5 linked regions of the Chlamydomonas reinhardtii genome follow. The protein of the gene in region 1 binds, or shares a complex with, the protein of each later gene. Links are inferred from orthologs where the notes say so. Each region holds a gene or a part of one and is shown in the gene's direction. Other genes may lie near its edges. The genes, in order: CHLRE_13g564250v5, CHLRE_04g217550v5, CHLRE_12g498100v5, CHLRE_16g676314v5 and CHLRE_12g515650v5.

The links.
Region 2: CHLRE_13g564250v5 (region 1) and CHLRE_04g217550v5 share a complex: the UniProt entries of both Arabidopsis thaliana proteins name them as parts of the eukaryotic translation initiation factor 3 (eIF-3) complex. The link is inferred for Chlamydomonas reinhardtii from reciprocal best matches to the Arabidopsis thaliana genes EIF3A and EIF3C.
Region 3: CHLRE_13g564250v5 (region 1) and CHLRE_12g498100v5 share a complex: the UniProt entries of both Arabidopsis thaliana proteins name them as parts of the eukaryotic translation initiation factor 3 (eIF-3) complex. The link is inferred for Chlamydomonas reinhardtii from reciprocal best matches to the Arabidopsis thaliana genes EIF3A and EIF3E.
Region 4: CHLRE_13g564250v5 (region 1) and CHLRE_16g676314v5 share a complex: the UniProt entries of both Arabidopsis thaliana proteins name them as parts of the eukaryotic translation initiation factor 3 (eIF-3) complex. The link is inferred for Chlamydomonas reinhardtii from reciprocal best matches to the Arabidopsis thaliana genes EIF3A and TIF3H1.
Region 5: CHLRE_13g564250v5 (region 1) and CHLRE_12g515650v5 share a complex: the UniProt entries of both Arabidopsis thaliana proteins name them as parts of the eukaryotic translation initiation factor 3 (eIF-3) complex. The link is inferred for Chlamydomonas reinhardtii from reciprocal best matches to the Arabidopsis thaliana genes EIF3A and EIF3K.

What each region holds. Positions count from the first base shown.
Region 1 is NC_057016.1:317,043-321,331, forward strand, and holds the start of CHLRE_13g564250v5 (uncharacterized protein), read left to right. Parts: upstream 1-1,483; 5' UTR 1,484-1,508; coding exon 1,509-1,856; intron 1,857-2,185; coding exon 2,186-2,272; intron 2,273-2,496; coding exon 2,497-2,711; intron 2,712-2,887; coding exon 2,888-3,044; intron 3,045-3,300; coding exon 3,301-3,609; intron 3,610-3,793; coding exon 3,794-4,289. UniProt on the Arabidopsis thaliana protein: RNA-binding component of the eukaryotic translation initiation factor 3 (eIF-3) complex, which is involved in protein synthesis of a specialized repertoire of mRNAs and, together with other initiation factors, stimulates binding of mRNA and methionyl-tRNAi to the 40S ribosome.
Region 2 is NC_057007.1:243,928-247,955, forward strand, and holds the start of CHLRE_04g217550v5 (uncharacterized protein), read left to right. Parts: upstream 1-1,223; 5' UTR 1,224-1,420; coding exon 1,421-1,423; intron 1,424-1,489; coding exon 1,490-1,674; intron 1,675-1,756; coding exon 1,757-1,865; intron 1,866-2,034; coding exon 2,035-2,307; intron 2,308-2,463; coding exon 2,464-2,565; intron 2,566-2,743; coding exon 2,744-2,847; intron 2,848-4,028. Other genes in the region: CHLRE_04g217500v5 (uncharacterized protein), read left to right, coding at 1-188. UniProt on the Arabidopsis thaliana protein: Component of the eukaryotic translation initiation factor 3 (eIF-3) complex, which is involved in protein synthesis of a specialized repertoire of mRNAs and, together with other initiation factors, stimulates binding of mRNA and methionyl-tRNAi to the 40S ribosome.
Region 3 is NC_057015.1:3,278,603-3,282,821, forward strand, and holds the start of CHLRE_12g498100v5 (uncharacterized protein), read left to right. Parts: upstream 1-1,416; 5' UTR 1,417-1,493; coding exon 1,494-1,649; intron 1,650-1,808; coding exon 1,809-2,939; 3' UTR 2,940-4,219. Other genes in the region: CHLRE_12g498150v5 (uncharacterized protein), read right to left, coding at 1-9, 217-384, 650-778, 1,072-1,115. UniProt on the Arabidopsis thaliana protein: Component of the eukaryotic translation initiation factor 3 (eIF-3) complex, which is involved in protein synthesis of a specialized repertoire of mRNAs and, together with other initiation factors, stimulates binding of mRNA and methionyl-tRNAi to the 40S ribosome.
Region 4 is NC_057019.1:3,507,401-3,511,614, forward strand, and holds CHLRE_16g676314v5 (uncharacterized protein), read left to right. Parts: upstream 1-1,414; 5' UTR 1,415-1,510; coding exon 1,511-1,690; intron 1,691-1,852; coding exon 1,853-1,962; intron 1,963-2,395; coding exon 2,396-3,098; 3' UTR 3,099-3,717; downstream 3,718-4,214. Other genes in the region: CHLRE_16g675958v5 (uncharacterized protein), read right to left, coding at 1-267, 695-920, 996-1,036. UniProt on the Arabidopsis thaliana protein: Component of the eukaryotic translation initiation factor 3 (eIF-3) complex, which is involved in protein synthesis of a specialized repertoire of mRNAs and, together with other initiation factors, stimulates binding of mRNA and methionyl-tRNAi to the 40S ribosome.
Region 5 is NC_057015.1:3,875,239-3,879,198, reverse strand, and holds CHLRE_12g515650v5 (uncharacterized protein), read left to right. Parts: upstream 1-1,156; 5' UTR 1,157-1,184; coding exon 1,185-1,262; intron 1,263-1,374; coding exon 1,375-1,551; intron 1,552-1,745; coding exon 1,746-1,854; intron 1,855-2,016; coding exon 2,017-2,141; intron 2,142-2,421; coding exon 2,422-2,498; intron 2,499-2,901; coding exon 2,902-2,995; 3' UTR 2,996-3,651; downstream 3,652-3,960. Other genes in the region: CHLRE_12g515700v5 (uncharacterized protein), read right to left, coding at 150-795; CHLRE_12g515600v5 (uncharacterized protein), read right to left, coding at 3,680-3,763, 3,836-3,960. UniProt on the Arabidopsis thaliana protein: Component of the eukaryotic translation initiation factor 3 (eIF-3) complex, which is involved in protein synthesis of a specialized repertoire of mRNAs and, together with other initiation factors, stimulates binding of mRNA and methionyl-tRNAi to the 40S ribosome.

The sequences.
Region 1 (4,289 bases):
GCAGCCACTTCTCCATTGAGAGAGAGAACCACTTTTTGTCATTGCTTTAGACTGCAGAGGAGAACGCACGGCCCGGGGAAACAGCAGTCCGCGGTGCCCCCGGGGTGCTGGACTCCTGCTGTGGGCCTTTACCGTGGGAGTGTGTAAAGTGTGAGAAGTGTGCGAATGTGAGCTTGTGAGGGGCTACTGAATTGAGGTTTCTGTCAGGCCTCCGCACTTGTTCCGGTCTGAAGGAAGGGGCCAAGGCAACCGCCCACGGGAACTTTCGCCCGGGCCAGTTGACGACACCTTGCACCCGCTCGCCCATTTTACAATGGTGGGGATTCAAGTTGACACTCTTTGCTAGTTGTACTGCTAGTCGGCTACTTAGACACTCATGCACACTGAGAATGCTGATGGACAAGGCGCCTGCTACTTTCGGCACCAGCTACCGGTACTTCCGGCGGGTGTTCAGGCTGCCGTGCACCGCGCTGTCACGCACATGGCCACACGGCCGCTTCCTGGGTGTGTAGAACCTGCGTTACCTGCCAGTGGTAGTCAGCTGAGGTGTTTTTTGGGCACCTTCACGCCTGTCGCGTGAAATGGGCACCTTGCCCTGAACAGGACTGAAGGCAATTCTCCGCCAGTCAGGTGCTTACCCCCCTGTAACCACGCACAGCAGGTGTCGTGGGGCTCGTAGTGATGAAGTCGTAGGCAGGGGTGAGATGGGACAGCGTAAGGGCCAGGTTGGCGTAGTCCCGTCGCGTACAGCGTATTCCCAGACCCCAACAATCAATTTACAACGCCATCAAGGCAAGATTGCGCGGCTGGTGTGCGGTATCGCGGGGATTACTGTACCGAGACGGGGGGGGCTTGTAGGCAGGGGTTTTAAGTAGCGGGGCGGGCCCCCAAGGGGGGTAGCCGTTCATGTGGAGAAAGGAGTGATTAAGCCACAACTTCCCAGGGGGCCCCTTGCCAGCACCCCAGCAAGTGTGTTCCGCGCTACGCAGGCGCCTTCATCCAGCAGCATCTGTGCTAGCCACTTGAATTTGACACCGAAATGACCGGTATCGTAGGATATCGGTAGGATAATAAGCGTGGTGGCGGAGAGTCCTGTGTCAAGTTCAGGGTTTCAGGTCCATGCAATCCTTGGTGCACCCTGCTATCCAACACAAGCCTCCCTCCTCTCATTTTACCACATTGGAAGTGCCTTCGACTGGAGGCCGACCCGTCGTCCGACCCCGGCATCCCACGCATCCAACGCCCCATCGCGGCTGACGCCCGCAGCCGAGCGGGTTGGGGCAGGGGAAGACACGGGCGTGCCAGGGCCAGGCAGGAAGTCGGCGCTCAGAAAAGCTTTAAAGTACTTGCTGTGGTTTCTTGTTCAATTTGGCAAGGCGAGCGGTGGCTGGGCGAGCAGATCGAGACTCATTGCGGCGGAGTCTGCCCATCGCGGGAGTTTTCCCTTAGCAGCAGCAAACAGTCAATATATTTGCACCACTTTCTTACATAGACAAAAGCGTGCCAGAATGGCGCGCGTTTACCGGGGTGGCCCCGGCTATAGCGCTAGGCCCGAGAATGCGCTCAAGAGGTCCGACGAGCTTGAGGCTATTGGCCAGAAGTCCGCCGCGCTTCAGGTCCTGCACGATGTTATTTGCAGCAAGAAGCACCGCACTTGGTCTAAGACGTTTGAGGCCATCATGCTGCGGCACGTTGAGCTCTGCGTGGATATGAAGAAGCGCAACTATGCCAAGGAGGCGCTGCTGCAGTATCGCAATATGTGCCATCAGGTCAACATCAACTCGCTGGAAGAGGTCATTAAGCACTTCCTGAAGCGCGCGGCCGACAAGGCCGAGGAGGCGCAGGCGAAGGCCGCGGTGAGCCAGGCGCCTGCAGGGCTCAGATCTGCGTTTATTGGATCCACAGCGCGGGGTGGAGGCTGCGATCGCGTGCAGCCTGGGGTGCCTGCACAGGATCGAGTGCAGAGGAGCCGCCAGAGCGGGAGGGCCGGGACCGAACCTACAGCGTGCCTTGGAATGTTGAATTGTGGTTTGTTTATGGAACATACGTGGTTCTTACTGGGAATGGCTATTTAACGCTGCTGGCACCGACTAGTACATGTGTTTCCGCGGGAACTTCCACTGGAGCGCAGGGCTTTTCAATTTGGTTTTCGTGGCACTAAAGCTATCGGTATACAATCTCGTAGGCGGTGACACTGGACGTGGAGGACTTGGAGGAGGACGCCAGCCCCGAGGAGCTGATGCTGAGCTATGTCTCCGGCGAGAAGAACAAGGTGCGTGGGGTTGCAGGGAGCAACGGGCACTTATCCATGGGCTGGGGCTGCGCTGGGCTGTTCCTTGGGGTCGGGGTGCTGTACGCAAGTGCTGCGCGTGTGCGCGAGGTGTGGGCGAGGACGTGGGGTGGTGTGCGTCGGGGAGGCGACTGAAGGGCGAATCCGCATCAAGCGTGCTCCCCCACCTTTCTAACCCCCTGTTCCCGCTCATCGCACCCGCGTAGGACCGCACCGACCGCGAGCTGGTCACGCCCTGGTTCCGCTTCCTGTGGGAGTCGTACCGCAGCGTGCTGGAGATCCTGCGCACCAACCCCAAGCTGGAGCCGCTGTATGCCATGACGGCCACCAAGGCTTTCCACTTCTGCCTGCAGTACAAGCGCACCACCGAGTTCAAGCGCCTGTGCGACATCCTGCGCCAGCACCTGGTTAACCTGGTCAAGTGAGTGCCGGTCGCTCGGCGGGCGGGGCCCTTGAAAGGCCGTCCGATGCCTCCAGACCGGTTGAAGGGCTCCAGACTTGGGCTGGGATTGCGCCAGTGCGCTACAGCAGGGCCCTGCCGAAGTGCTGCAATACCCAACCGCGACCAACTGTTCCTCGCCTTCACCCACCGTGCAGCAAGTTCCGCGAGCAGCGCGACGCCGGCCCGGAGAGCATGACCATGCACCTGGAGAGCCGCTTCGAGCAGCTGCGTGTGGCGTGCGAGTTGGAGCTGTGGGGCGAGGCCTTCCGCTCCGTGGAGGACATCCAGCAGCTCATCTCGCTCACCAAGAAGGTGGGCGGGCGAAGCCGAAGAGCGGGGGCTGGGGAGGCCGAATGAGGGGTAGGGAGGGGGGGAGGAGGGGCACGGGTTTCCGGGAGGGGGTGGAAATGATTGCCTGTGAGGGGCCGGGCTGGCAACATCACGCATGCCGGGGCTACAGGGTATGAGGCTGGTTGCTGGGCGCGCACAAACCCTGCAAGCTACAACAGCTCGCACCCGGCAGTCGCCTGGCTCGCATATCCACCACCGCTCTGCTCGCCCTCCACAGACGCCCAAGCAGCCGCAGCTGGCGTCCTATTACACGCGCCTGACTCAGATCTTCGCCGTGTCGGACAGCCCCATGTACCACGCCTTCGCCTGGCTGAAGCTGTTTAGCTTCGCCCGCCAGCATGCGCGCGGCATGTCGCAGACCGACTACCAGCAGATGGCTACGGCCGTGCTGCTGGCGGCGCTGGCCATCCTGCCCTACGAGCGCAGCAACACGCCCGGCGCCCGCGGCGCACCCTCGGACGCCGTGGCGGCTGAGCAGGAGAAGGAGCGCGCCAACCGCATGGCAACCATCCTGGGCTTCGCCGTGGTGAGTCCAGGGGCCGCCTTCGATACTGGTTAGATGACTACTGGATGGAGAGGCACTGCGCTTGGTTGGGATCAACGGCAAGGCGCGGGGTACAGAATGGGCGTCCCCACATCTCCCACAACACTGCATTTGACTTAGCGCTCACCATCCCGTTGCCCTCTGCACCTTGGCAACGCCCGTGCAGGACGCCAAGAAGGACGCTCGCGGTCTGCTGACGCGCCAGGCGCTGCTGGCCACCATCTCCTCCTCCAACCTGCTGTCGCTGGTGCCGGCCGAGGTGCGCTCCATCCACGACGCGCTGTCGCAGGACTTCAACCCGCTGGAACTGTGCCAGAAGCTGGCGCCGCTGCTTGAGAAGCTGCCGGAGCTGGCGGCGTCGCAGCTGTCGGGCTCAGCCCCCGTGCGCAGCGTGGCGCTGGACAAGTACGTGCCCGCTCTCAAGCAGGCGGCGGTGCTGCGCCTGCTGAAGCAGCTGAGCGAGGTGTACAGCGTGATGCGCATCTCGGAGCTGGCGGCGCTGGTGCCCTTCTACACCTTTGCCGAGGTGGAGGCGGTGGTGGTGGACGCGGTCAAGTACGACTACCTGACCATGCGCGTGGACCACCGCAACGGCACGCTGCACTTCGGCGCGCAGAGCGTGGAGGCGGACCGCGTGCGCGGCCACCTGGCGGCGGTCGCCA
Region 2 (4,028 bases), on another chromosome or scaffold:
TGGCGGTGGCGGAGGCGGCGGCAGCGGCCGCATCAACGGCGGCGGCTAGCGTGGGCGGCGGTCGGAGAGGGGAAGCAGCCGGGGCAGTGAGGAGGGAGGGGGAGGAAGGGGCGCTGGTGGCGGTGGCGAGCCGTCTGGATGTGGGGGCGGTGACACGGTTGGTGTTGGCGGCGGCGGGCGTGGAGTGACGACGCAGGAGGCTGGGATTGGAGGGCACGGTACCCATGGCAGCGTTTGTGTGGTGGCTTCTGGACGGAGGGGAAGGGGGCTGTGCTCATGAGGCATGAGGACAAAGCAACAAGAGAACACGTGGCAAAGGCAGGAGCTGAGGAGCCTCAGGGGGCGGGGCAGCTGACGGCGGGTCGGCTGGGCAGTCCAGAGAGGTGCTGTCAGTGGTGTGTGGGCGCTGTGTGCTTTCCGTGATTGCGGCACGCCGGAAGCCGGCAACATGAGTACATGCGTATTGCGTAATGCGGTACGAAGTACCAAATCCAGGCATGTCACTGCCCCGAGAGACCTGTCGTCATCGCCGCCGCCGCTGCCACGCCCGCTGCCCTGCACTGCTCGTGCCTCTTCCTTCTTGACAGAGAGCCACGCACCGTGTGCAGGGGGGGGGGCGCCCTTTTAGCCTCGTGGCCTCGTGGTTGTATGGGGCGACGCTTGGAGCCCTCGGCGTTCGGGGTCCCTGGGCCGGGGATTGTAGGGACCCCCACATCGGGTCACCAGCAGTGGCGGGTGGGCGGACACAGCAGGCCTTCCTCGCTGTTCCTCGCAGCCTCGCTGTTCCTCCTGCAGGCGGCGCTGTTGCGACGGGAGGAAATGACGAAGGTGGTGCAAGCATAAGTAGCACGGCCGGGGCATAGGAATGCTGGCGGCAGCGCTCGCAGAACAACGAGTCGCGCCGCAGTGGGCCACAGCGCAGCAGATGATGAAGTCAGACCTGGGGCCAACGCACGCGGCGAAGGCAGCGGCGAAGGCAGCCGAACGCGCAGCCGAACGCCCAGCCGGGCTGGCGGGCTGCGAGGTGCAGCGGAGAGCGAAGATAACAGCAGCTGCAGTGGAGTGTCGTCCTCGCGCTGCTTACTGTGCTGAGGGTGGCAGGGGTGTGGTGGGGGCGATGGAGGTTGCCACCGGGCAGGCGCAGGGGAGGCGTGCCACCGTGCCAGGACGACCTTGGTGCATTTAACACGCACATAATTGAATTAACTAGCAGTGGTTTCTGTGCAGTCTGTAGCAGCCCAGGGCTCAGGGAGCAGACAGACCATCATTCCGCGCGCGCTGCATCGCAGCCCCTCCACCAGAAGCCGCTTCCCCTGAACCGGCACCCGTCCTTTCCTACTTGTTAGGATACATTTGCGGCAAAGTCCGCACTTGCATTTATCACAACAGTCTCTTTTCGCGCCGCCGACTAGATCGAAAAATGGTAGGACGTTTCGCTCTTCCCCTCGGCGCTGCCTTTTGCTGATCTGGAGTTTCTTTTTCTCTGCAGTCTAAGTTCTGGGGCCGCGGCGAGAGCGAGGATGAGGAGGAGGAGACCACTGAGGAGGAGAGCAGCGAGGAGGAGGGCAAGAGCTCCTCCTCCGGCGACAGCTCCTCGTCGGACTCTGACAGCGACTCGGACTCTGACTCCGACTCGGACTCGGACTCCGACTCCGACGACGACGGGCCCAACAAGTGAGCACATCGCAGCCGCCGAGGTGCCCTGCGCGTGCATCGCCCAGCGCTCACCGTTTTTGTGTTTATGCTATGATTTCAGGTTCTTGGCTGGGTCCAGCGACTCGGATTCGGACAATGATCGCCGCGTGGTGAAGAGCGAGAAGGACAAGCGCATGGGCGAGCTCGCGCAAACCGCTGAGGACATCCGGGTGAGGCCTGGAGCTTCGACTGGAAATGTGCAGAGCGATGGGGTGGCCACGGGGCGCCGGGGAACGATCGACGGTGTGGCGGGAGAGATGCGGCAAGGCTTTTTTGCGCGAAAACCGGCGTTCTGAGCGTCTATCACGCTGCGGCTGCATTCCTATTGTGTATTTACAGAACAAGATGAAGATCAACGACTGGAGCGCTATCCAGGAGCTGTTCGACACGCTGAACGCGCGCCTTGACAAGACGCGCAAGTTCCTGTCTGGGCCGATGCTGCCGCGCGTGTACCTGAAGCTGCTGGTTGACCTGGAGGATTACCTGAATGATACTCTGGCGAACAAGGAGCTGGTGAAGAAGAAGATGTCGTCCACGAACGCGAAGGCGCTGAACACCATGAAGCAGCGCCTGAAGAAGCACAACACGCCCCTGCTGGAGCAGCTCAACAAGGTCGGCCGGGGGTCAGCAATGGAAAGATAGGGGGGAAGCGCACGCAGAGCGGCAGCGGGCTGCGGGGGTCCGGGCCACCGTGTGCGGGAGGAGGATGCGTGCCTCAGACTCTGCAACACCCCATTAAATGCTGCGAAACGCCTGCGCATGCCACAGGTCCGCGAGAACCCCGACGAGGAGGACGAGGTGTCGGAGGCGGACAGCAGCAGCAGCGAGAGCGGCAGCGACGACGAGCGCGACGCCGAGGAGCGCAAGCAGGTGCGCTTGCATTTGTGTTTCGTGTACCGTGTGTCTGCCTGGACATGTGCTGCCAACTGCTACTCTGTTCGTCACTGCCATCGTCTGACTAACCATATGCCTGGAACCCTTCCCCCCGCTACTGCTAACCCCCACGCGCTCCCCCTCCATACGCAACCCTGGCCTTCCATAACAATAGGGCGCCCTGGCCGCCAAGGCCAAGGACAAGCTGCTGACCATGGACCCCAAGGAGATCACCTACGAGATGGTGGCGCGCAAGATGAGGGAGATCGTCATGGCCAGGTAGAGGAGGCGGACGGGGGAGGGCGGGCTGGGCGGAGGAGGGGGAGGGCGTAGGCGGGACGGGGAACGGCGGCACGTACGGGCTGGCAGAGACGTGGAGCTCCGAGATTGGTGGCAACGCTGGGATCCCATCAGCTGACGGCGAAGGAGCGCGGAGAGCTACCCGCTTGCACAGCAGCAGCGGCAGCGGGAGCTGCGTCAGCGGCAGCGGCAGCAGCAACGGCAGCAATGGCGCCAGCAGCAGCAGCAGCAACAGCAGCGACGGTATTGCCGCATTGTGTGACTGCAAGCTGAGGGCGGGCTCTACTGCGACGCGGCTCGCGGAGGGGGCTTTGGCCAGGGGTTATGGCTGGGGGTTACGGAGGCGCCCGATTGCCACCGTGGCTGTGTGCTGCGGCTGTGGCGGCGCCGCTGCCAGGCAGCGGCGGGCGGCGCCGCGCTGGCGGCAGGAGGGACTTGGGGGGCGGGAGAGCACCGGGCGCACCAGCGGCGGCAGTGGCGCGGCTGGCACGGCGGCGTATGGCTTGGCGTGGGCTGGCGCGCTGGCATGCCCGCCTGCGCGGCAAGGTGCGCTACGGTGCAGCAGCAGCTGTTGCTGCTACGGCCTGGCCCTCCGCCACAGCGGCTGCGGCGGCGCCTCCACCTACAGTGCCGGGAGGAAGGGAGGGAGGTGCTGGACTGCAAGCCGCCGCCTGCAGCGCCGCCGCCTCCGCAGCCGCCGCCACAGCAGCAGCAGACAGGCAGGGGCACTGCATGGCGGCGCTGGAGTAGCAGTGGACGCACTGGACAAGGAGCCAGGCGCAGCTGCAGGGGGGCGGGGCAGGCCCGGCCGCTCCCGCCGCACAGTCCGTCGGTCCAGCGGGAAGAGGGGGGCGGGCATTTATGGAGGAGGCGGGCGGCTCCCCTGGCGCGCGGCTCGGCACGCGGCGGCGTCGCGGCGGCGTCGCGGCGGCGTCGCGGCAGCGGCGACTGCCGGCTGCAGCGTTGCTGGCAGTGCTGGCAGTGACAGAGGGGGGCGGCGGCAGCTGTTGCGGACACGTTCCCTGCAGCAGCAGTAACATCAGCAGCAGGGATAGCAGTAGCAGTTGCAGCAGTCGAAGCGCGGTCGGCGGCTGGCAGCGTCGCTGGCGCGTGTGCCGTGGCTTTCTCGCGGCGGTCTGGGCGGCGCGGCGCTGGTTCCG
Region 3 (4,219 bases), on another chromosome or scaffold:
ACCGGCGAGCTACGGCATTGGAAGGGTGTGGGCAATGGAGCCGTGTTGGGGCCGGGTGACCACAGGACATTCACGCGATACCTACCAACGCTTGAGCATACCACCTCGGAAACTCCAGAGTGCAGACTGCCCCCCTATACCAGTCCTTGGCCATCAAGGTTACCGTACCGCAAGCCCCCGTAACCCTGCGAGTGTCCGAACCGACATGAGCCCCACCTGGGCAAAGCCACCAGCGCTGTGACCTCGGGCGCCTTGCCCTTGCGGTGGGTGCGCACCGGCTCCCCGCTGACCATGTCCCAGCACCTCAGCGAACCATCTTCGCAGCCCGCCGCCACCAGCGGGCGACCACCGACGCTCTCAGGCGGCAACGCCACACATGTCACTCTGCACGACAGGCCCGCGGCAGGGACACGCTTGCGAGCAAGTCCTGAGCGGCATGTTGGGGTTCCACTACAGTGGCTGTTCGCTATGCCAGGGCCAGGACGTTGCTGGCACGTGAGGACATGCGCCACCAGATGTGTGCGAAGGCCGCGTCGCGGCTTCAGCAACACGCAGGCCGAGCGCAGGCAGCAAATTGCATGTGCTGCCCGCAATCATCCCGACCCACCCGCTGCCCACCCACTACCTTGCAACCCAAGGCTGTGCGCACCTGCTCCCGCCCGTGGGCAGCATGCGCTGCACGGTGCGGCTCTGCGCGCAGGCCACCACCACCGCGTAGTGGCCGCCATACGCCACCAGCTGCTGGCTCGGCAGCACCGCCACCACCTGGCTGCTGAACCTGTGGGCATGTGAGGCGCATCAGTGACCTTACCAATGGGTGTGATGTGGTCTGACATGTAGGGGCTACGAGCTATGTGGCATAGCGCGGCGCAATCGGCGGTTGACAGTGCGTGCGGCTGTGACCCCGGCCCCTGCTTCCGGAATGCGGGTTTGCGGCCCGTGGGCGCACTGGCTTGAACAGGCCTGACACTCTAGCCCTTGCACCACTTGCAAAACGCATCAAGAGTACAGGAGCAGCGAACGGCGTGGGCAAAGCACGGACGCTGGCTCCCGACTCCCGACTCCGCCTACCAGTTGGGGGAGGGCGGCAGGACCACCGCCGACGGAGCCGCCATTGTCTCGTGATTGGCTGCGCTGTTTCTGGGCTCCCGCAACCCTCACCAGAGTCGCGTAGGCAAGCGCAGAGAAACGCAAGAGTGTGGCGATAGAGATCACGTCATTTCCCTACAGAGAAAGGGAAATGTGCCGATGCCCTATCTATACATACACCTAACCTCTTATGTATTAGTTCGGAGTCCGAAAGCCCGTTTTGAGCGGGCCAGGCCGATGGGCACTCGGACCCCCATCCGGCACAGCGCGAGAGCGGGCTGCGCACCGGGGCGTAGATCGCCCGTTCCTTTGTCATTCCCGCAGCCCCCACCCCATAATTGTTTCACAGCGGACTGGTCAGGCCTTAGGACTAGGCAAGGGGCGTAGCCGCCGCCGAGAGAAAGATGGCTGCCACCAACTATGAGCTTTCTTCCAAGCTGGTCCAGTATCTGGACCTGCACCTTACGCTGCCTATTATGGAATACCTCCAAGAGCGCGGCCTTTACAATGAGGACGACATCCTGCGCGCCAAGCTGGCGCTGCTGGACAAGACGAACATGGTACGCGCTTAGTGTTTAGATCTGGAGACCTGGCACTTGGAATGAGCTATTGGACAGGCTGGGGATGCCGGAAGCGGGAAGGGCAGCTCAGCGAGTGCAGAGGCCATCGGCCTTTCCAGTTTGAGTCCGGGTCGCTGAGCGAAAAATTCGATGTTGTAGGTGGATTTTGCGATGGATATCTACAAGGGCCTAAACGGCGTGGACGAGGTGCCTGCGGAGATGAAGGACCGCCGCAGCCAGGTGGTGGCGCGTCTTCGCCAGCTGCAGGCGGACGTGGACCCCATTATCAAGTGTCTGCAGAACAGGCATGTGGTGGAGAAGTTCCGTCAGGATAAGAGCTTCAACCTGCAGTTCCTCCAGGAGGAGTTCCAGATTGGCGCGGAGCACGTCGAGGCGCTGTATCAGTACGCGCGCTTCCAGTTCAACTGCGGTAACTACTCGCTGGCGGCGGAGCTGCTGCAGTCTTACCGCACGCTCTGCACCAACAGCGAGCGCAACATCAGCGCACTGTGGGGCAAGCTCGCTGCGGAGATCCTCATGCACGAGGCGGTGAACATCCAGGAGGCACGGGAGGACGTGTTCAAGCTGAAGGAGGTCATCGACAACCAGACGTTCGCCCCCCCGCTGGTGCAGCTGCAGCAGCGCACCTGGCTGCTGCACTGGTCCCTGTACGTCTTCTGGAACCATGAGAACGGCCGCAACGACATCATTGACCTGTTCCTCTCCCCAGCCTACATCTCCGCCATCCAGATCAACGCGCCGCACCTGCTGCGCTACGTGGCGGTGGCTGTGGTCATCAACAAGAAGAAGCAGCGCAGCGTGCTGAAGGAGCTCATCCGCGCCATCCAGCAGGAGTCGTACGAGTACTCGGACCCAGTGACCCAGTTCCTGGAGTGCGTGTTCGTGCACTACGACTTCGACGGCGCCCAGCAGAAGCTGAAGGAGTGCGAGGCGGTGCTGGACAACGATTTCTTCCTGGCGGCCTACAAGGACGAGTTCATTGAGAACGCGCGCCTGTTCATCTTCGAGACGTACTGCCGGATACACCAGTCCATCTCCATTGCGCTGCTGGCGGAGCGGCTGGGCATGGACCAGGAGGCGGCGGAGAAGTGGATTGCCAACCTCATCCTCAACGCCAAGCTGAACGCCAAGATTGACTCCAAGTCGGGGACGGTGGTGATGGGCACGCAGTCGCAGTCCGTGCACGAGCAGCTGGTGGACAAGGCCAAGATGCTGTCCGTGCGCACCTACGTGCTGGCCAACACCGTGGTGGGCAGCGTCAAGCCGTAAGGCACCGCGGCGAGCAGCAGCCGGGGGAGGAGGAGCAGCAAGCAGGTGGGAGTTGGAGCCATGGCGGCGGGCGGGATGGGGTTGGCGGGGGCGCGGGGATGCATGTGGGCCAGGGGGTCGTCTGGGGCTTGGTATTGGCGGGAATGGGGTGGAATAGAAAGGCAAGCTCTGGAGGTGAAGAGTGCTGGATTCCTAAGGGATTGGTAGATGGGGTAGCAATTGCATTGGGCAGACGGCTGCTAGGCCCAGTTCCAGCGGTGCTCCGCACGCGGCATGGCAAGGAAGGGGACCCGCGGCCTGGTAACGGACGTGCAACAATTCGCCGGTTGATACGGAAGAAGCCCTGGGAACTGCGAAGAGGTTCGAAAGGTTGACGTGACGAGGAATCACTTTACCTCAAGCTCTGATCGCCATCCATCATTCCCTTTTGCCTTGTAGATTGCGGGCTTGCTTGTGGACGACAGCGGTGTGCAGGGCGCGGTCTGCCGCTTCGGCAGGCGATTCACGACAGCAGCGAGCTTTGAGTTACGGGATTCCGTTGCGGGATGGGCAGCTTTCTACAGCAGCAAGCGTGGGAGCGCTGGCGACGGCTGCTGCACGGATCAGACCAGGAGCGCTGGGCGGAGGGCGCGGCAGCGGGTGTGGGACAGCGCTGGCGAGCGGCGTTCGAAGGTGCTGATGAGATGAGCAGTGACGTAGACGGGCGACAGCGGCTTTGCAATACAGTGAAGGGCGGTAGGAGCGCGGCGGCTGGAATTTGCAGCAGCTGCACGATTATCCCATGGGCGGGGCGCAAGGGCATGCTTGTTCAGCGACGTGAGACGGGGGGGTCGCCCCCTTGGCAGTGTGTTCGCGCGCGCCAGCAGCAGCGCGTGCCGGGGGGCTGTGCAGCCGCGGCTGGCACGGACTCGGCAACGCTTGTTCGGGTGAGCTCATTGGATGGGCTGTCTCGTGCTAGGGAGGCGGTGCATTCGCGTTCCCGTCGGGCTGGTGCGCTGCAGGCAATGGATTTCCTGGGGCTAGGGTCGGCATTGCCCGCTGCTGGTGGCTGCAGAGTGTACCTGGACGGGCACATGCTTTGGATAAGCCTGAGCGTGGACCGGCGTGGGGGCAATCGGCGTTGGCGTAGTGAGGAGCAGATAGGTTCTCGTGTATGCAGGCAGTGTGGCAGTGCGGCAGTCCGCACACGGGCTGTGGATGTAGGTGTGAACGCTGTGCCAACGAGACTGAAACTACGTAGGATTCGGGCTAGACCTAAGAGGACCATTCGGGGGAATAGG
Region 4 (4,214 bases), on another chromosome or scaffold:
GGCGTAGCGGTCCATGCGGTGGTCAAAGGTGACTGACGACTGCTTCCATTTGACCGAATAGGAGAACTGCACGTCCAGCGTGTCTGCGGTCGTGATGTCCACTGTGCGCATGGGGTCGCTGGACACGTTGATCTCGATGATACGGTCGTCGTTGTAGGACAGGTCGAAGTGGAAGTGGGTAAAGAGGAAGTACTTGTGCGTACCCTGCTGCACAATCTTCTCCACCTTGCCGATGAAGCCCCACACAGGCAGGTCGTCGTAAAACATCTGGGGTCAGAGCCGCGGGGTCAGAGATAAGTACCTAAGCGACGCTCAACAGGAGCACGCACAGGAGCACGCACAGGAGCACGCAAAGAGAACCTAAAGGCAACTTCTTGGGGTAGACGGGGCATATGACGGGTCAAGCCGCTGTTGTGCTTTGGCGCGCACCAGGAACTATCCTCTTCTGGTATGTGCGACAGGTTGCGGGGCAGGTGTGCAGGGTGGCAAGGCCCAACATGCACACGGTAACCCAACATGCGGGCAAACTGCGAATGAGGGCAAACACGCAATAGAGGTGTTGACCGGCGCATGGGGTGTCAGCGACGAGTACAGGCCGGGAGTTGCTGGCAGCGTGCACCGGGCCGGGACGGACACGTCCTGGGGTACACGCGCCCGCACACCCGCTGGTCCCAGTCGTGTCAACCCGCCGCACCTGGAAGTAGTAGTCCTGCTTCACGGCATCCCTGAACTTCTTTAAGTCACCAGCAGTGAGCGTGCGTTTGCAGAGCACCGCGTTCTCAACATCGGTGCGGAACTGCAGCTTGTAGGGAGTTGTCACCAACCGGTCGCCCTCAAGCACCTCGCCTAGGAATTCCGTCTTATACTCCTTGCCGTCAGTGGGCTGGCAGAACGGCAAGTTGTAATACTGGTACGTTTCCCTGCAAGGCAAGGAGCGAAAATCGCGCCGCGTTGGCGCGCGAGCTGGCACCGCTGGCTGCAGCAAAACTACTCACGTCGGGTTTTGAAAGGGTCCGACTTTGTTTGCATACAGCATGATGTCACTTCCGGGCTTGAATTTATGGTCGCTGCCCAGCAAGACTCGCTCCGATGCTACGAGGGCTACAGCGCTTCCGAGCAGCGCTGCCATCAGCAAGCTCGCGCGCAAGCGCGCCATACTGCCAAGTATACTTTGAGGCCTAGCCGCCCTCGTCAACGCGCAAGCTTTTGGCGACTGTTGCGACGATCCTAGTTCGAAACACAGGTGATGCTACTCGTTGTTGTTCAGCATAAGCACGAAGGTACAAGCGCGAAAAGTACAGCAGCAAACTGACATTTCAGGTCTGAGAGAAATTGCATTGCAAATGGAAGTGCGATCGGGCCCCGCATTGCAGCCAAACACACCCTGATCACTGTAGACATCGTGTAGTCGTATCGTTTACTCTTGTGTTTAGCTTTTGAAAAACAGGCTTTGCTTATAGGCACGGCGCCGCCGACTTAGGCCGCTGGTTTATTGCAGAGGCGCTGAAAAATGGAGGCCATCGCTCCTAAGCCGCATAAGGAGCTCGTGAAGACGGTGCAGCTTGAGGGTCAGGTGCTGCTGAAGATTATCCAGCATTGCACTGAGGCGCTGCCCCAGAACGTTACCGGCCAGCTGCTGGGCCTGGATGTTGGTCAACAGCTGGAGGTGACGGACTGCTTCGCGTTCCCGGTGAGCGCTGAGGATAGCAGGCGCTGAGGGCGCCAAGCGGACTTTTGGGCGGCCCCCAGATTGCTCGCGTTGTCGAGCACGCATAGCAGGGGAAAGTCGCGTGTATCAGCATATGCATATGCACAATAAAGATCGGCGATGGTGTGGGCCGGGTGTGTGCAGGCTACCGTGGCGGACGATGACTCCGAGGCAGAGTCGGCCGGCGCCAACTACCAGCTGGAGATGATGCGCTGCCTGCGTGAGGTGAACGTGGACAACAACACCGTCGGCTGGTGGGTGCAGTCAATGCGCGAGCTCGCGGGGGAAAGGAGAGGGAAGGAGTCAGGTGCAAAAGCAGAGGAGGGGGAGTTGACGTGGGGAAGCGCCCTTGGGAAGCGCCCCAAGGCGGGACGGTACCGTAGCACTCATGCTAGCCGCCGGGACATCAGCGGACAAGGGCATGTGCGCACTACATGAGCGGCACGCTAGCTGCGGCAACCACCGTGTATGAACCGCCTGTCAGAGTCCTTGCCTGCGGACACGAGGCCCGTTCGGCCGTTGGCGGGGCTCGAGACTGGCCTGGGGGCGACATGGCCATCAGCCACCCGCGACAGTACCGCAAGCAGAACCTCGGGGTAGCAGCCGCCGAGCATCTTCAGGGCTGGACCCGACTGCGCACCATGCGCTTGCCTACGAACCGTGCACCTGCCGGGCCGCACCCCACAGGTACCAGTCGGCCAACATGGGCACCTTCCAAACCGTGGAGCTCATAGAGACGTTCATCAACTACCACGAGAACATCAAAAAGTGCGTGTGCATCATCTATGACCCCCAGCGCTCATCGCGCGGCAGCATCGCGCTCAAGGCGATCCGCCTCAAGGAGTCGTTCATTGAGCTGAGCAAGGAGCAGAAGCTGACGCTCAAGGGCTTTCGCGAGGCCAACCTGTCGTGGCGTGATATCTTCGTGGAGCTGCCCATCCGCATCCGCAACAGCAACCTGGTGCAGGCGCTGGTGGCGGACCTGATGCCCGCCCCCACCGCGACCCAGGCGGACGTGGAGCGACTCAACCTGTCCTCGGCCCCCTTCCTGGAGCGCAACATCCAGTCGTTGCTGGAGTGCGTGGACGACATTGTGGCGGAGCAGCAGAAGGTGACCATGTACCACAAGAACGTGGCGCGCCAGCAGCAGGCGTACGCGGTGTGGCTGGCCAAGCGGCGGCAGGAGAACCAGCAGCGGCAGGCTGACAACCAGGAGCCGCTGCCGGAGGAGGACCCAAATCTGTTCAAGCCCATTCCCGAGCCATCCATGCTGGATAACTACCTGGTGACCAACCAGATCGCCACCTACTGCGACCAGGTCAACGTGGCGGCGGGCGAGACCATTCAAAAGCTGTTCCTGATGGAGGGCATGCAGAAGGCGGGGTTGTAAGCTCGAGGACCTGCGAGCGGAAGAGCAGGCGCTTGCTGGGGCTGCGGGCTCGGCTGTACAGACCCATGACCACGGGATGCAGACACGGGATGCAGGAGGATGGCACCGCTTATGATGGGTGCTGTCGCAGAGGCTGTGCTTGCAGGGGCCAAACATGAAGCGCGTAGTGTGTGCTGTGGGACTGTAGTGGTTTGAAGGCGGAAGGCGCTGTCTGGTGCAACTGCTCTACCGAGCACACCTACCAGTGGCATTAGTTATTAGGTGCTCAGTTTGAGGGACAAAGGGCGGGATGGGATTGGGTGGGGCGTTTGTGGTATGGCCGCGTTGAAGCACACACAGCTTGCGCTGTTTTGAGCGCGCCAGCTAGCGGCGCATAGGCAGACATGACGAGTGCAGAGTGTTGTTGCTCTAAGAGGGTGGACGTAACCAGTACACGATCAGACATTGTAGGAGGACTGCAGGAGTGCAAGTTGTGAGGTGTCGCTGTGTGCAACCCGCGGCAAGGTCCGTGACGGTTGACTCTCCTCGCGAGGGCGAACATGGGCGCACGTACAAGTAAGACAGCCCACATTCCCTACGCGGCAGGCTCTGCCTTGTCGGTATGTAAGCGTAACGGCATCTTCGCGCGTTCTCGTGCTCAGATATGTTAAGTGTGGTGCCCTCCGTTCATGACTGCGATGCGTGGGGTGGGTATGGGAGGTCGGTGTGCGTGGCTTAATACGGGAACATGGGACTGCGCCTCCCAGTGGCACCCCTGACGGCTCCTTCGCCAGCCTGCGCAGCCCCACAGTGCAACTGTCATTGCAGGCAAAGCCGCCGGCTTTGAGCAATGCGCCGACGCCATTTCTGCTTGTATTGGATTTGTAGGTATTAGCCTGAACTAAACCAAGGGGGGAGGGGTGAGAATCGCGCAGGCACACCCCACACTTCAAACGGCCTTTAAATCAGGGGGGGGGTAGAAAGCTCAATTTCTTACCCCATGCTCAAAATTACAGAGCTTAAGGAGAGCATTATGCACGTGCTTTTAGTTTTTCAAGGGGGCGTCTGGTGAGGAAGTTCTGGGCCGCCAAAGTTGGGGGGTCGGTCCTCGTCCCTGGGGGTCCGTCGGGTTTCGGG
Region 5 (3,960 bases), on another chromosome or scaffold:
GGGGAGAGATGAGAGTGAGGAGGACGGACGGCGCGCAGGGCGCAGGAAAGGGTGACAAGGGTGCAGGAACGGGCTTCGCAGTAGTGGAGAGTAGAACGCTGCTGGCAGCACCTGATGGCGAGCAAGCGCAAGGGCGCAGACCCACTCACTCCGTATGGTAATGCTCTCCTCCTCTCCATCCTCCTGGGATGATGATTTCACGGCAGCTTTGCGTCTGGATACGCGCTTCTTGGGCGCCTGCAGTTCCCCATCAGGAGCCGCCGCCGCTTCCGGGCCCCCCTCTGCAACTGTCTCGGCTGCTACCTTAGTGCGACGCGTGCGCGTAACTTTTGGCTTTGCTGCAGCTGCGCTATCACCTCCAACCTCTGCTACTCCGGATGCTGAAGCAGCGGCCTCTTCGCCCGGCTCGGCAGCCTGCGCCTTGCGGCACGAGGCACGCTTCTTGGGCACAGCCGCTGCCGCCTCGGCGTCGTCCTCACTCGGCCCAGACGAGGGGTCCAGCCCTGCCTCAGTCGCGCTGTCAGTGGCAGCGGTCTTGCGGCTAGCCCGCTTCTTTGCCACTGGTACATCATCGCTGCTGCCGCTGGGCACGGCGGCGGCCGCGGAGGTTGCCCGGCGAGTGCGTTTGGGCTTGGGCGGCTCGCCGCTGGCACCGTCTACCGCTGGCAGGGCGCTGTCGCTATCAGCGGCAGACGAGGCAGCGGGGAAGCTGCGGAATCTGGGGATAGGTGCTATTGCAGACCACCTGTTGAAGGTCTGCAGCAGCGGCAGCGCCTGCCGCAACCGGAGGAGCATTGTGGAAGGTGACAGGACGCGAAGGGCGGGGCTGGCGCACGACGCTCCTCTTGATCGCTCGAGCGCCCGGCCCCTGCAGAGCCGCTCAAGGCGCGACAGTCTCTCCTAAAGCACGCGATAATTGTGGGGTTCGCGGCGTGTTCGGAGCAGGGAGAGAGCTTGGCGAGCTGTCGAGACGCGCGCTATGCAAGAAATCAGTTTCCCAGTGCGTGTATACAGCTTTACGTTCGTAGCTCATGCAGTATCGTTGCACTTCACAGACTAGAGAGTGGATTCTACCGCTTCGGAGCCCCATCATCGGCCATCGCAGCGTCGCATCCCAGGGTGAGCATCCACTTGTCTTGGTTTTCTTTTACGTTGACACTTCCTTTCTTTACATACCAGTTAAAATGTCTCTTATCGTGACTGGTGCTGATCGTTACTCGCCGGACAAGCTGCCACAGCTTGAGGCGTATGTTGATGAGCAGGTAGATCTGTATTTCTTAGCAGCCCGTTTAGTCCCCTGGCCCCTTGGTGCCAGCACGGCGACACATGCTCGGCGGCGGCAATTTGCGCTGAAAGCGTCCTGCACTGCTGCAGGTCGCGAACCGCTCATGGAGCCTGGATGCTAATGTTACGCTGCTGCGCTTCTACCAGTTCAGCCCGGCCAGCGTGAAGCCTGCCATTGTCGCTAAGGTGCTTATCAAGGCGATCATGCAGGCGCCCGCGCAGGACTACAAATGCTGCATCACGCTGCTTCCAGAGCGCCTGCTGCAGGTGTGCGAAGTGCAGTGGAATGGCGTTTAAAGCGTCAGGGCCTGGGGGAGGGGGTGGGTGGGGTGGGTTAGGGGCCGCACCGTGGGGTGCCGCCCAAGACACGCGGGGAATGCTGTGGCACCTTCATGGCTGTTTCCACACCTCTCCTGTTCCACTATTGCTCCATCCGTTGCACGAACCCTGCATTGCTGCAGTCTGACGAGTCGGTGTACAAGGTGGTGCAGCTCGCAAACGCGCTGGAGACCAGCCGCTTCGGCGACTTCTGGAACGCGGCCAACACCTGCCGCGACCTGCTGGGCGGCAGTAAGTGCAGCGCACGGGGACCTGGCTGGAGTGGGAGCCACTCAGCTAGGACGCAGGGGTTTTTAAAGGCAACGGATGCGGAATCAGAGGCAACAGAGGCGCCCCGATTGCCACACGTCACGAATGCCAATTAAACCAGCTCTATCTGCTGCTCTGCTGCAGTCCCCGGCTTCTACGAGTCGGTGCGCGGCTTCATCGCGCACACGCTGGTGCACACCTACGGCCGCGTGACCAAGCGCACGCTGGCGGACTGCCTAAAGCTGGAGGGCGCCACGCTGGAGCAGTACGTGAGTGATGCATTGCGCTTACGAGTTTCTTATGGGGGGGCGTGGTGGCGGCAGTGTCTCCGTGTGCGTTTACATGTGAATGGTGCGCAGTAAGCAGGGCTGGGTTGGGTAGAAAGGCGTTGAGGAGCGTCGCTTGAGGACGTGAGCGAAAGGGTTAAGCTGTGTGCATACGGCGGGGTGGGAGATTGTGACGCCGGCTTGAAGGTCCCTTCGCCAGTGCGCCTCATCAGCTAGCATCAGGGTAAAAACGCGCCTGCTGGCTGCTTGCTTCTGACCACAGCTGTCTGAAAAGTGCAAGTCGGCTGGCTGGAGCATTGTCAACACGCCCGCTGGCGAGGTGGTGGGGCTCCCCAAGAAGTGAGTACAGGCGCAGAATTCTGGACTGGCCTGCGGAGGGGGCGGGGTCTGCTGGCATTGCTAGGATGAGGGGCCGGGAAGCGGGGCACGCGGGCACACCGTGGGCGCACGCAGAGCTGAAACAGCTGATCGAACATGGTAACATGTTTGGTGCCTCCTGTGCCACATGGCATGATAGCGCCGCGACATCCCATGTCCACCTGCCCACCTCCAATCCTGCCGCACCTGTACTCTGGAAATGCACACCCCGCAAACAACCTCTCCTCCTCCATCAACACTCACCTACATATCGTGCTTATCTAGTATCAGATTGTCCTAAAAACTGGGGTTGTACCCCAAGTGCTACAAGCTCACGCCATTCATGGCCCTCCTGCCCTGTATTACGCCCGCGTTCTGCCCGCAGCGACGACAACCAGTCGGTCGTGAAGCGCACCCAGGAGCTCATCCGCTTCGACCAGGTGGCGCCCATGCTCAAGGCCGTGACCGTGGGCTTTTAAATCAACGCTACTACTGAAATTACTTGACGACACGACCATGACAGCATGACACACAACCATTACTGTCAGACTCTTCTAGGCATTAGATAGAAGACCGTTGGATCCCGGTATGCCCATCGGGTTGTAGACTTGAGTGCGTGAAGGGCATTCGTTGAGAAGCCGTGCCCCGCCTTGGGGCGGTCCGCACACGCATGCGAAGGCATCGCAGAAGGCGTTACTGTACTGACTTTGTTCGGCGGTATGGCACCCCATTACAAAGGAGGCTAGCTGGAATAGTACACGGCGCTTATGTAGCCAGCTGCTGGTGGCGTGTAGCGAGCTTAACGGGAGCCATCGCCTTGGCCAAGCCACGACAGCAGCCCCTTGACGGTGCTGCCTAGGTTCTCCGCAGCGGCGACGCTTGCACTGCGCGAGCCACCGCCGCTGCCCCCCGCGCCAGGGCCGCTGGCACCGCCAGACTCGCTGCCGCCTGTAGGAGCCGAGCCGCCGGTGCCGGGGCGCGGCGCGCCTGCGGACGGGATGTTGCTGCCGCTGCTTCGCTGCGGGCTGTTGTGCGCCGGCTGCCCAGTGACGCTGCGCCACAGGCGCTGCAGCTGGTCCAGCGGGCCGGGCGGCGGCCGCTTGGCGATGGATGCAGCGCGCTCGGCAATGTCGGCCTGTGTGAAGAGATGGGGTTAGAGGCGCTTAGCTTGGAGGCACCCACAGGAGTGCCAAGAGTGCGCAGTATGCATGCGCGTGTATTGTGTAACGTAGAATTTGTTTCGCGTCCTTTGCGCCGTTTGCTTGCTTGGCCCAGATATCGGTACTCTCTGATGCAGACACCTTCCGTACCCTGCCCACCTGCGATTGCGACATGTCCTGGTACGCGGTCGCGTGCGCCGCCGCGCTGGCCGCCCGCTCCTCCGCCTCCTTAGCCGCCTCGGACGCCTGGGCCACGCGCGCTTCCGCAGCCACAATAGCGCTCT